2 linked regions of the Sus scrofa genome follow. Each later gene encodes a partner of the first gene's protein in a complex. Links are inferred from orthologs where the notes say so. Each region holds a gene or a part of one and is shown on either strand. Other genes may lie near its edges. The genes, in order: ESR1 and SMYD2.

Evidence for each region.
Region 2: the proteins of ESR1 (region 1) and SMYD2 are in contact, whole or in part, in a crystal structure (PDB 4O6F), measured with the Homo sapiens proteins. The link is inferred for Sus scrofa from reciprocal best matches to the Homo sapiens genes ESR1 and SMYD2. Residues at the interface, in NP_000116.2 of Homo sapiens: Gly262, Arg263, Met264, Leu265, Lys266, His267, Lys268, Arg269, Gln270, Arg271; in NP_064582.2 of Homo sapiens: Leu148, Val179, Asn180, Cys181, Asn182, Gly183, Phe184, Thr185, Glu187, Leu191, Ser192, His193, Ser196, Ala203, Ile214, Val215, Ser239, Tyr240, Ile241, Asp242, Tyr245, Arg253, Tyr258, Ile302, Arg306, His341, Tyr344, Leu379, Asn380.

The regions. Positions count from the first base shown.
Region 1 is NC_010443.5:14,488,366-14,492,504, reverse strand, and holds the start of ESR1 (estrogen receptor), read left to right. Parts: upstream 1-1,339; coding exon 1,340-1,791; intron 1,792-4,139.
Region 2 is NC_010451.4:129,313,160-129,317,699, reverse strand, and holds the start of SMYD2 (N-lysine methyltransferase SMYD2), read left to right. Parts: upstream 1-1,477; 5' UTR 1,478-1,641; coding exon of another isoform or gene 1,642-1,814; intron 1,815-4,540. UniProt on the Homo sapiens protein: Protein-lysine N-methyltransferase that methylates both histones and non-histone proteins, including p53/TP53 and RB1. Specifically trimethylates histone H3 'Lys-4' (H3K4me3) in vivo. The activity requires interaction with HSP90alpha.

The sequences.
Region 1 (4,139 bases):
TTACATGCTATGTAATATACATTATTATCTGTTATACACACACACATATATAATGTGCTTGAGCATGTTTAGCTTTTAATTCAGTTCAGAACTTTTTACTATTTCTTTTCCAATCTGAATATTTGATTCTGCTTATCCTAGTCCAAGTGAACCAAGAAGGTCCAATTGTAGGATAAAAGAACAGACATGTATCATTGCATTTCAAAATGTGTTTGGTGAGACCAACAGTGTAGATTTGGTTAATGAGCCGAGGTTATGCTTTTTTTCTGGAAAGGTCACATTTCATATTCAGTTTTCTGAAGTTTTGGTTGCATAATCTGTGGAAGGCATGAATACCCATGTCCGCCTAACGGGAGGTTTCTGTAAATCGTCATTCACATTAGAATTCCTGATGGGAGCAAGTACAGTACTGCGGCCAAAGACAAACAGACAAGTCGGGCTGGGGGAATCTCAGATAGTCTTGGCTGGAGGGGATGACTTTGGGAGAATTTTGCAGATGAGGAGAACTGAGCTGGGCAGCACTCCCCTGACTGCAAAACGCAGCTCTTTCTATAGTACACCTTGAGTCTCCGCCCCCTTTCCCCCAGATGCCTCTTATCTGTCCCCCGAGCTGCTAAATATAGCCGTCTGCCTATGCACCCGCACACCCCATTCTATCTGCCATATCTCGGTTACAGAGTGGTCCTCCCCAGGGTCATTCTCTGTACACACTCCGTATTTCCAGCCAACGAGGAGCGTGAATCCAACAGAGAGAGAGACAAACAGAGATAGATTGGAGCCTGGCACGGGGCACATAAGGTAGCACGTTCGAGAGAGCCGGCCCCTGGATTAGTCTTCCGAGTTTGTTTTAAACCCCGTCATCTCCGGACCACCTTTAGGAGATCCCTCTGCGCCTCCGCCCTCCTGCAGTGAAATGCAGCCTCTATCCAGCAGCGACAAGTAAAGTAAAGTTCAGGGAAGCTGCTCTTTGGGATCGCTCCAGAACGAGTTGCGCCTGGAGTGATGTTTAAGCCAACGTCAGGGCAAGGCAACAGCCCCCTGGCCGGCTTCCAGCACCTTTGTAATGCATATGAGCTCGGGAGACCGGTACTTAAAGTTGGAGACCCGGGCCCGGGAGTTGGCGGAGCGCGCTCGCGCCGGGCTGCACTTGCTCGCGTCCGGCCGCCCCGCTCCCCGGGACGGGCCGGCTCCCGGGGCAGGGCCAGAGCTCGCGTCGCGGCGGGACATGCGCCGCGCCGCCTCTAACCGCGGGCTGTGCTCTTCTTCCAGGTGGCCGGCCGGCTGCTGAGCCCTCCGCCGCGGGGGGAAACGGTTTGCGCCTTGCCCGCGGCCACTGACCATGACCATGACCCTACACACCAAAGCGTCCGGCATGGCCCTGCTGCACCAGATCCAAGCCAACGAGCTGGAGCCCCTGAACCGCCCGCAGCTCAAGATCCCCCTGGAGCGGCCCCTGGGCGAGGTGTACGTGGACAGCAGCAAGCCCGCCGTGTATAACTACCCCGAGGGCGCCGCGTACGACTTCAACGCCGCGGCCGCCGCCTCCGCGCCCGTCTACGGCCAGTCGGGCCTCGCCTACGGCCCGGGGTCGGAGGCGGCGGCGTTCGGCGCCAACGGCTTGGGGGGCTTCCAGCCGCTCAACAGCGTGTCTCCGAGCCCGCTGGTGCTGCTGCACCCGCCGCCGCAGCTCTCGCCCTTCCTGCACCCCCACGGCCAACAGGTGCCCTATTACCTGGAGAATGAGCCGAGCGGCTATGCGGTGCGCGAGGCCGGCCCTCCCGCCTTCTACAGGTACCCGCGCCGCCCGCCGCGCCACGTCGGGGTGGCCGCCGCGCACCCGGCGGCGGGAGGGAGCGGGGGGCGAGGGGCCGCGCCGCCGGGAGCTCGCGGGGCCCGCAGGCCGCGGGGCTGGGCACCCGGCAGCCCGGCCGCCGCCGGCGCCGCGGACGCGCGACCCGAGGGCTAGGGCGCGACCCGGCCCAGGGTCACGGGTGGATCTCGCGTTCGAGAGTCAAGTTCTCCGGCCTGGCAGCTTAAAAAAAAAAAAAAAAAAAAAAAAAATTTCTACTCTCCACCCCGCCTACTGTCTGCGTGAGAAGCAGGTCCGAAACCCCGTGTGCTTTCCAACTAAACCAGTATTAGAAAACCGTGCAAAGCAGAGGTTATTTGTGGGGAGAAACGCCCCAGACCAAATAAGCACAAGGTGCTTTGAGTCCCTAGAAAAGGTCCCGCTTTGGCTGTAGGTGTTGGGGCAGGCGGAGCTCAGAGTTTTCTTTTTTACATAGTCTTATTATTTTACAAATTTGTTTTAACGTGCTTGCAAAATTTCCTTTCACCTAGAATTTCGGATTGGCTATGTGCACGCTGTGCCGCTGGTGAGCTGGTGATGGTGATGAGGGGGTGCTCATTTCCTTGGGAAGCGGTTCCTAGCAGCCCTTTGCTTGTCCTCCCTGTCCCACCTCCGAGGGAGGCTGTAGGACTGACCGAGCGCTGCTCAGATGAGCAAGGGTTGAATGGGTCTCAAGGAGTTTCTGATTTCTGAGTTATCTGGCGGAGTCCGTGTCAGAGCAGCTTGCTGGCAGAAGACTTCTGACAGCCGGAGATTTATAACTGTCCTGTGAGTTAAAAACATGCCACATCGAAGCACGAGTGTTTTGAAATACTTCCCTGCCAGCTAAGTTTCATTTCTGGCCTGCGGGGCTGAGAATGCCCTGGGAGTGGTGTGTATGGGTTCAGCCCAGTTCTGTGCCTTTCATTCTCAGGAGAAGCAACAGATAGTTAGTCGTTCAGGATAGACAGGAACACTTTTGTGACTTAAGAGGCAAGTGTTTTTTGTCCTATTTTTTTCCCCCTAGTAGACCCTATACTTTCCTTTGCTCCTCTTCCTCCCATTTTCCCTTTGACAGTTTCTCCCTTCTCTTCCTGATGGACTTTGCAGAGGGTTTAGGCAGGGGGTCCTGGTGGGTACCTGCACCCTAGGTGCTGCTGGACAGGGATAGCCTGGGTGGGGTTGGGAGGCCTCCCAGCACCCTGGTGGCTGGATGCTGGGTTAGGCACTGCCTGGCTGGACACTGCTGGTGTGTGGACGTGCCCTCCACCCTCACCCAGACCCTTCTGTATTGCAAGCTGTGGGCCGTTTTTCTATTCAGCATCTATTTCCAGAGATATTTATAGCAGAAGAAACGGGAGGAAGGTGCATCGTGGCCCTAGAGAATTCTGGAGGCAGCCGCTGGGGGTATCTGAACATCTGCCACATCCTTCAGCCCCCTCAGAGGACCTTAGAATGTCACACAGCCAAGCAGGTCCATCCTGAGTTATTACTTAAAACACAAACAATGAACAAAACTTTAAAAAGTTGGCCTCTATCGAATCATTTTAACTTGTTTTCTGCAGGGTTAAAATGGAAAGAGAAAAAGAATTTATTCTGCCCGCTTTTTTTAAGTGTTAGAATCAAATATGACAATTAAATCTAATTCACACAACATTTTAAACTCCTTGATGTGAAGGAAGGCACTGATAGGACGTGAATTCCATAACCTTATGGTAGACTCCAGAAACAGTTTTCTTTTCCATTTAATTTTCAGTTCTTTTCTTGCAAATTAATGCCACTGAATTTCAATGGACACTAATGAGACTGCTTCTCAGTGGATTATTTACTGCCCTGCTAATAATTACAAAGTGAACATGGTCAAATAAAGAGGGGAATCACATTTTATTCAAAATTGTTCAGCATCCTGGTGGCAAATAATATCACTATAACATGCCCATCTTAAACTTTCTGCATTCGATGATATTCAGATATTTTTAGAATAATAAAAAAGTGATATGGAACTTTCAACTCACCCACATTGGATTCTGTGTGGAAATTCAGTTTTAGAATGATCATTCTCCTTTGTAGTTTATTTCCCATAACATCCATCCTTCCTTTCTTTTCTTTTCTTTTCTTTTCTTTCTTTGAATTCCGCCTCTTATTACCCAAGAAAGAGGGGAAGGATCTATAAAATAAGTTATTTCAAATGGAGAGATGTTACTTCATATTTTTTCCCCTCTCAGTTTTGCTGTTTGAATAACTTTTGGTAAAAAAGAAAAGAATTCATTGGACTCTTTTAGGAAACTTTAATTTTCTTCAGTACTTATCA
Region 2 (4,540 bases), on another chromosome or scaffold:
GTATGGGCCTCAAGTTCAGACTGACTGGAGGCTGAAACCAAATTCTGCAGCTCAGTTGTGTGGCCTTGGATATTCTGAGTTTTGATTTCCTAGTTTTGGAAATAGGAGACATAACACCTAACTCATTGGGCAGTTGGAATTACAGATTAAATGGGATACTGTGTCTAAGGTACAGAGCACAATGCCTGGTCCATAATAGTCACTAACTATTGGTAATTATTGTTGGGCTGTGAATGTGTCACATGCAAAGACCTAGGCCTACATTTTGCCCATCTTTCTATGCCAGGGACTGGCCATAGTAGGTGCTCAGTGAATGCTTCTTAAAATGCCTAAATGGGAGAGTATCCATGATGTATTCTTCTTTTCAGGAGGACTAGAGGCTTATTCATTTTAGAACTTTATTGAAGTGTCAAAAATTCTAATAATCTCATGACTCCAAATCATATTCATCTCTCCCTTTGTTAAATTAGTCTTGAACTTAGGCATGTGCCATAGTTTGAGGTCAAACTTGAGTTTGAAATATTAGTGTTTTTGCTAAATTCTGTCTTCACGACTGAGTCCTTAACTGCATGTGCATCAATTTCAGCCTTTACATGGAACAGATTATATCTTTCTCATACGAAAAACTCCAATAGTATACAAGTGTATAGGATTAAGTGCTAAAGCACTGTTCTTTGAGCTTTACCTGTTTTAAATCCTCTATGTGGCTCAAAACCTAACAGATTTTTCTAAGATGACAGTGCCTGGTCAAATCGATTAGAACCACCACAATTCTAGCCGGGTGCTCTGGCTACAGCACGCCACTGCCCCCGACAAGTCTAAATTCCCTGCTGGCAAGGTTGTCTCCTGCCTCCTCCGCATCGTTGCGTGTATGCAGAAGCTTCGAGTGAGTTAGGGTGACCGGTGCAGTTCCTTTTCCGTCCACGTAATTAACTTCCACTAGGGGGGCAGAGGGAAGAGTAGGTTCACGATGAAGACTCCCTAGAAGGTTTAAAGCCTCATCGGGTTGAAAAACTTTTAACCTTGGGGAAGCACTCTTTAATCTTAGTACATCAAACTTTTTTTTACGGCGGTTTCTCTTCCGTGTTCCCAGAGGACGCCTTCTACGGTCCTTGTCAAGGACACACGCAAGGTTGCAAAGCATCTTGGCCTCCTTCAATTTCCTAATCACCGGCCTTCCTACAGGCCAAGCCCGGGACGGGCGCAGGGTAGCTGCCCCCGTGGGCGACCCCATCCCGCCCACCGGAAAGCGGGCAGCGTCCCGCGCGCTCCGTGGAAACGCCGCGGAGGCGGAGACGCCTCCCGCCCTCCTTCTAGGAGCCGCGGGAGATGCCGCTCCCGGCGGCGGCCACACCGGAAGCGGCCCCGGGGGCATGCGGGGCGGCCGCCGAGGGTCCCGCACGCCAGGCGGGGCCGCCGGGCCTCTCCCCCGCCTCCCGGGGGCGTGCGAGGACCGGGCGGGGCCGCCGTCCCTTCCGGGGAGCGGTGGCCGCCGCCGCCGCCGCCGCCGCGTCCGCCGGGCGGCTTCCCACCCCGCCCCCCGCCGCTCAGGGTGACGCTTCTCCAATAACAGCTCGCGGGGAGCCGCCGCTGCGGGCTCCGCCGGCGCCGGGCCCCCTCCGCGCCAGCCCGGCCGCCAGCATGAGGGCCGAGGGCGACGGCGGGCTGGAGCGCTTCTGCAGCCCGGGCAAGGGCCGGGGGCTGCGGGCCCTGCAGCCCTTCCAGGTGGGAGACTTGCTCTTCTCCTGCCCGGCCTACGCCTACGTGCTCACGGTCAACGAGCGGGGCAACCACTGCGAGTTCTGCTTCGCCAGGTAGGGTGGCCCGCACGGACGGGCGGGCGGGCGGGCGGGAGCCGGGGCGCCGCCGGGGCGGGCGGACCGCGGCGGGAGGAAGTGCGCGCGGCGCGCGGGGTCCTAGCGCCCGCGGCTCGGGGGAGGGGGCGGGCGGCGCCCTTGAACCCCAGGCCTGATTGTGCCACGTGCGTTAGGAAAGAGGAGCCAAGTTCCCTTCGCACGCCCTGCACGGCACGCTTTCCGAGCTGCTCCCGCGGAATATGCTAAACCCGCGAGGGCAGAATCCTGCCCTCAAACGTGGGCGCGGAGCCGGCCTTGCTCCCAGCGTCAGCACACGCTGCCCACTGGGGTGCGTGGCTGGCGGGGCCCCAGGTTCGCGCAGCTACATGCAGTCTGTCACCTTCAACTTGTGCTTTCTGCGGTGTGTTCTGTGCCCCACAGGCCGGCTGTGTCGCACACGTGCCGCGTTTCCTCCAAGGAACTTAATGCCACTTAATATTTCATGTAAAGTACCTGGTTCCTCTTATTTCTTCTCACCCTGCGCTTGGTGTTTGGAGAGAAGCCAGAGGAGCACTGACCACACACCTGGGGTGCAGAGGGGCTGCACTGGTGCCATGTATCTAACCCTGATTTGGGATTGGGAAGACACGGCTGCTGGGGCAGGATTTGGCAAACCATGTGGTTGGAATTGGTATTTAATTGTGGCATATTCTGTATATACGTTCGTGTTTGTATTCACATACAGCAACACATAGTTAGCATCCTAAAGCCCCATGACAGTTTCAGACCTGAAAGGCAGGTTAGAAATCATCCATGAAACACTCTCCGTTTTACAGGCAAGAGAACTAATGCCCCGAGCGAGAGAGTGCGACTGCGTATGTGTATTCACGTCTGTCGTTCCGAAAATGAAATCTAGTGTCTTCAGTTCTACCCATTTCCTCCCGAGTTGAGTGTTCCCAGTAGTACTGAGACAGGAAGCCTGGCTTTGGAGTTAAGCTTGTACAGGGCCTTCCGGTACTTTATGTTCTTTGAACCTCAGTTTCTTCATCTTTGAAATGGAGAATCCTGGGCTAGATTAAGCCCACCTGAGGTCTGCAGGTACCTTTGGCGTACAGGTCTGTCTGCAGCCCGGGCAAGCCCAACATACGCTGGCGTACTCCATCTCTGAGATGTGTTCATCTTATTCCACGATAAGACAGAGCAAAAGAAGGGACAAAAGCTAAATACTATAGTCATCTTGCCCAGACTCCCTGCCAGAGCTGTCTTCCGCTTGGGGGGACCTGGAAAGGAACTAGACACAGAATCATGCCGTGGGCAGCTTAAGGGCTGTATGTGATGTGGCTCTTTGAATTGGTGAGCCAAGAGCTAAAGGGTCATGGCACCACTTTGCGACGTTTGAGTGAAGTGAGCATTGGGTTTTCCCAAAGTTAAAAAGGCTGCTGTGTCTGGTCCCTTGATCTTCTGAGCCTCGCTGTGGCTCAGAGTCTGAAGCAGTGTGGGTGTCTGGAGTGGCAGGAGCAAAGCAAGGTCACCCAGCACGGAAGGGGCCCCCCTCCATCGGGCTCCTGGTGATTCCTGGGCTCTATTGTTTGAGAAGAGAAGGTGGTACTTGCCACATGGTAGGTGCTCAGATGGTCGTTACCAGACCACTCCTCCGGTGCATTAAAGACCAGCTCCAGCTGGGTTCGCAGTGGAGCAGCAGAGCTGAGATGCTGGTCTTTCGCTGTGAGCCTCCTTAACGGTATCTACTACGCACACCCCCGACCATAGATCAGGAGGGTGCAGTCAGATGGCACTTCACAGATCACCCAGCCATGTGTGATGACACTGGCCTTTTTCCCTTTTCCTATGACATTCATTAGTGTCCCTGTTGCCTTGGACCCCTCGCCAGGGCTGCCCCAGGCGTTGGAGCAGGACCCCTGCACCCCGCCCCCTCTGCCTCAGGTGAACTGCTGTCAGCACCCACTGCACCTTTCCTCTCTCTCCCCAAGGACTCGCTTGAAATCAACTAAAATAGTACACGGGAAATAATGACGTCATGATGCTTGTGAAATGAGAAACAGCTTTGCACTCTGGTTTCTGTTAACTCCGATGGGTTTAGAATTAGTGGGTAACTCATTCTCGCAGATTGAGCACCATTTCCCCTGTCAATGGTTTGTATGTGACCGAGGACAAATTACTCTGCGGGGCTAGACACAAATTACTGTGTCTGTGTCCCCACTGTTCCCCCGGGGATAGAGCAGCATCCTCAAATAGTGAAGCATACAGGGCAGAAATCCACTATTAACCCCCCTCCTCCCATCCCATAGAAGGAAAACGACACCGTATCATTTCTTGTGCCAGACGTTGCAGGTGCACGATATTGCTTAAGCCAAACGAGCCTAGAGATTTTTCCTTACATTCATTGTATCAGGGTTTGACTTAATTTGAAGGAAAATAAGTGATTTTTTTTTCAGGAATAAGTATGTTCTCTAAGTTGAAATATAACGGGAAGGTCTCTTAGGTTTTACTGTCAGGGCAATTCAGACAAAGGTTTGTTTCTGGGAGTTTCAGATTTGTATCATGTTTTCTCAGTTCGGGGGGTGACACTTGGGAAGACGTGTGTCTTGCTTTAGCTGCCAGAAGGCAGGTCCTAAAAATACATCTGTCTTTCACTTGGGGGGCTGTTCTCATCAGACCTCTCAGATGCATTTTATGTGCATATACACACACGCACGTTGGCCTGGTCAAATTTTTGCGGCACG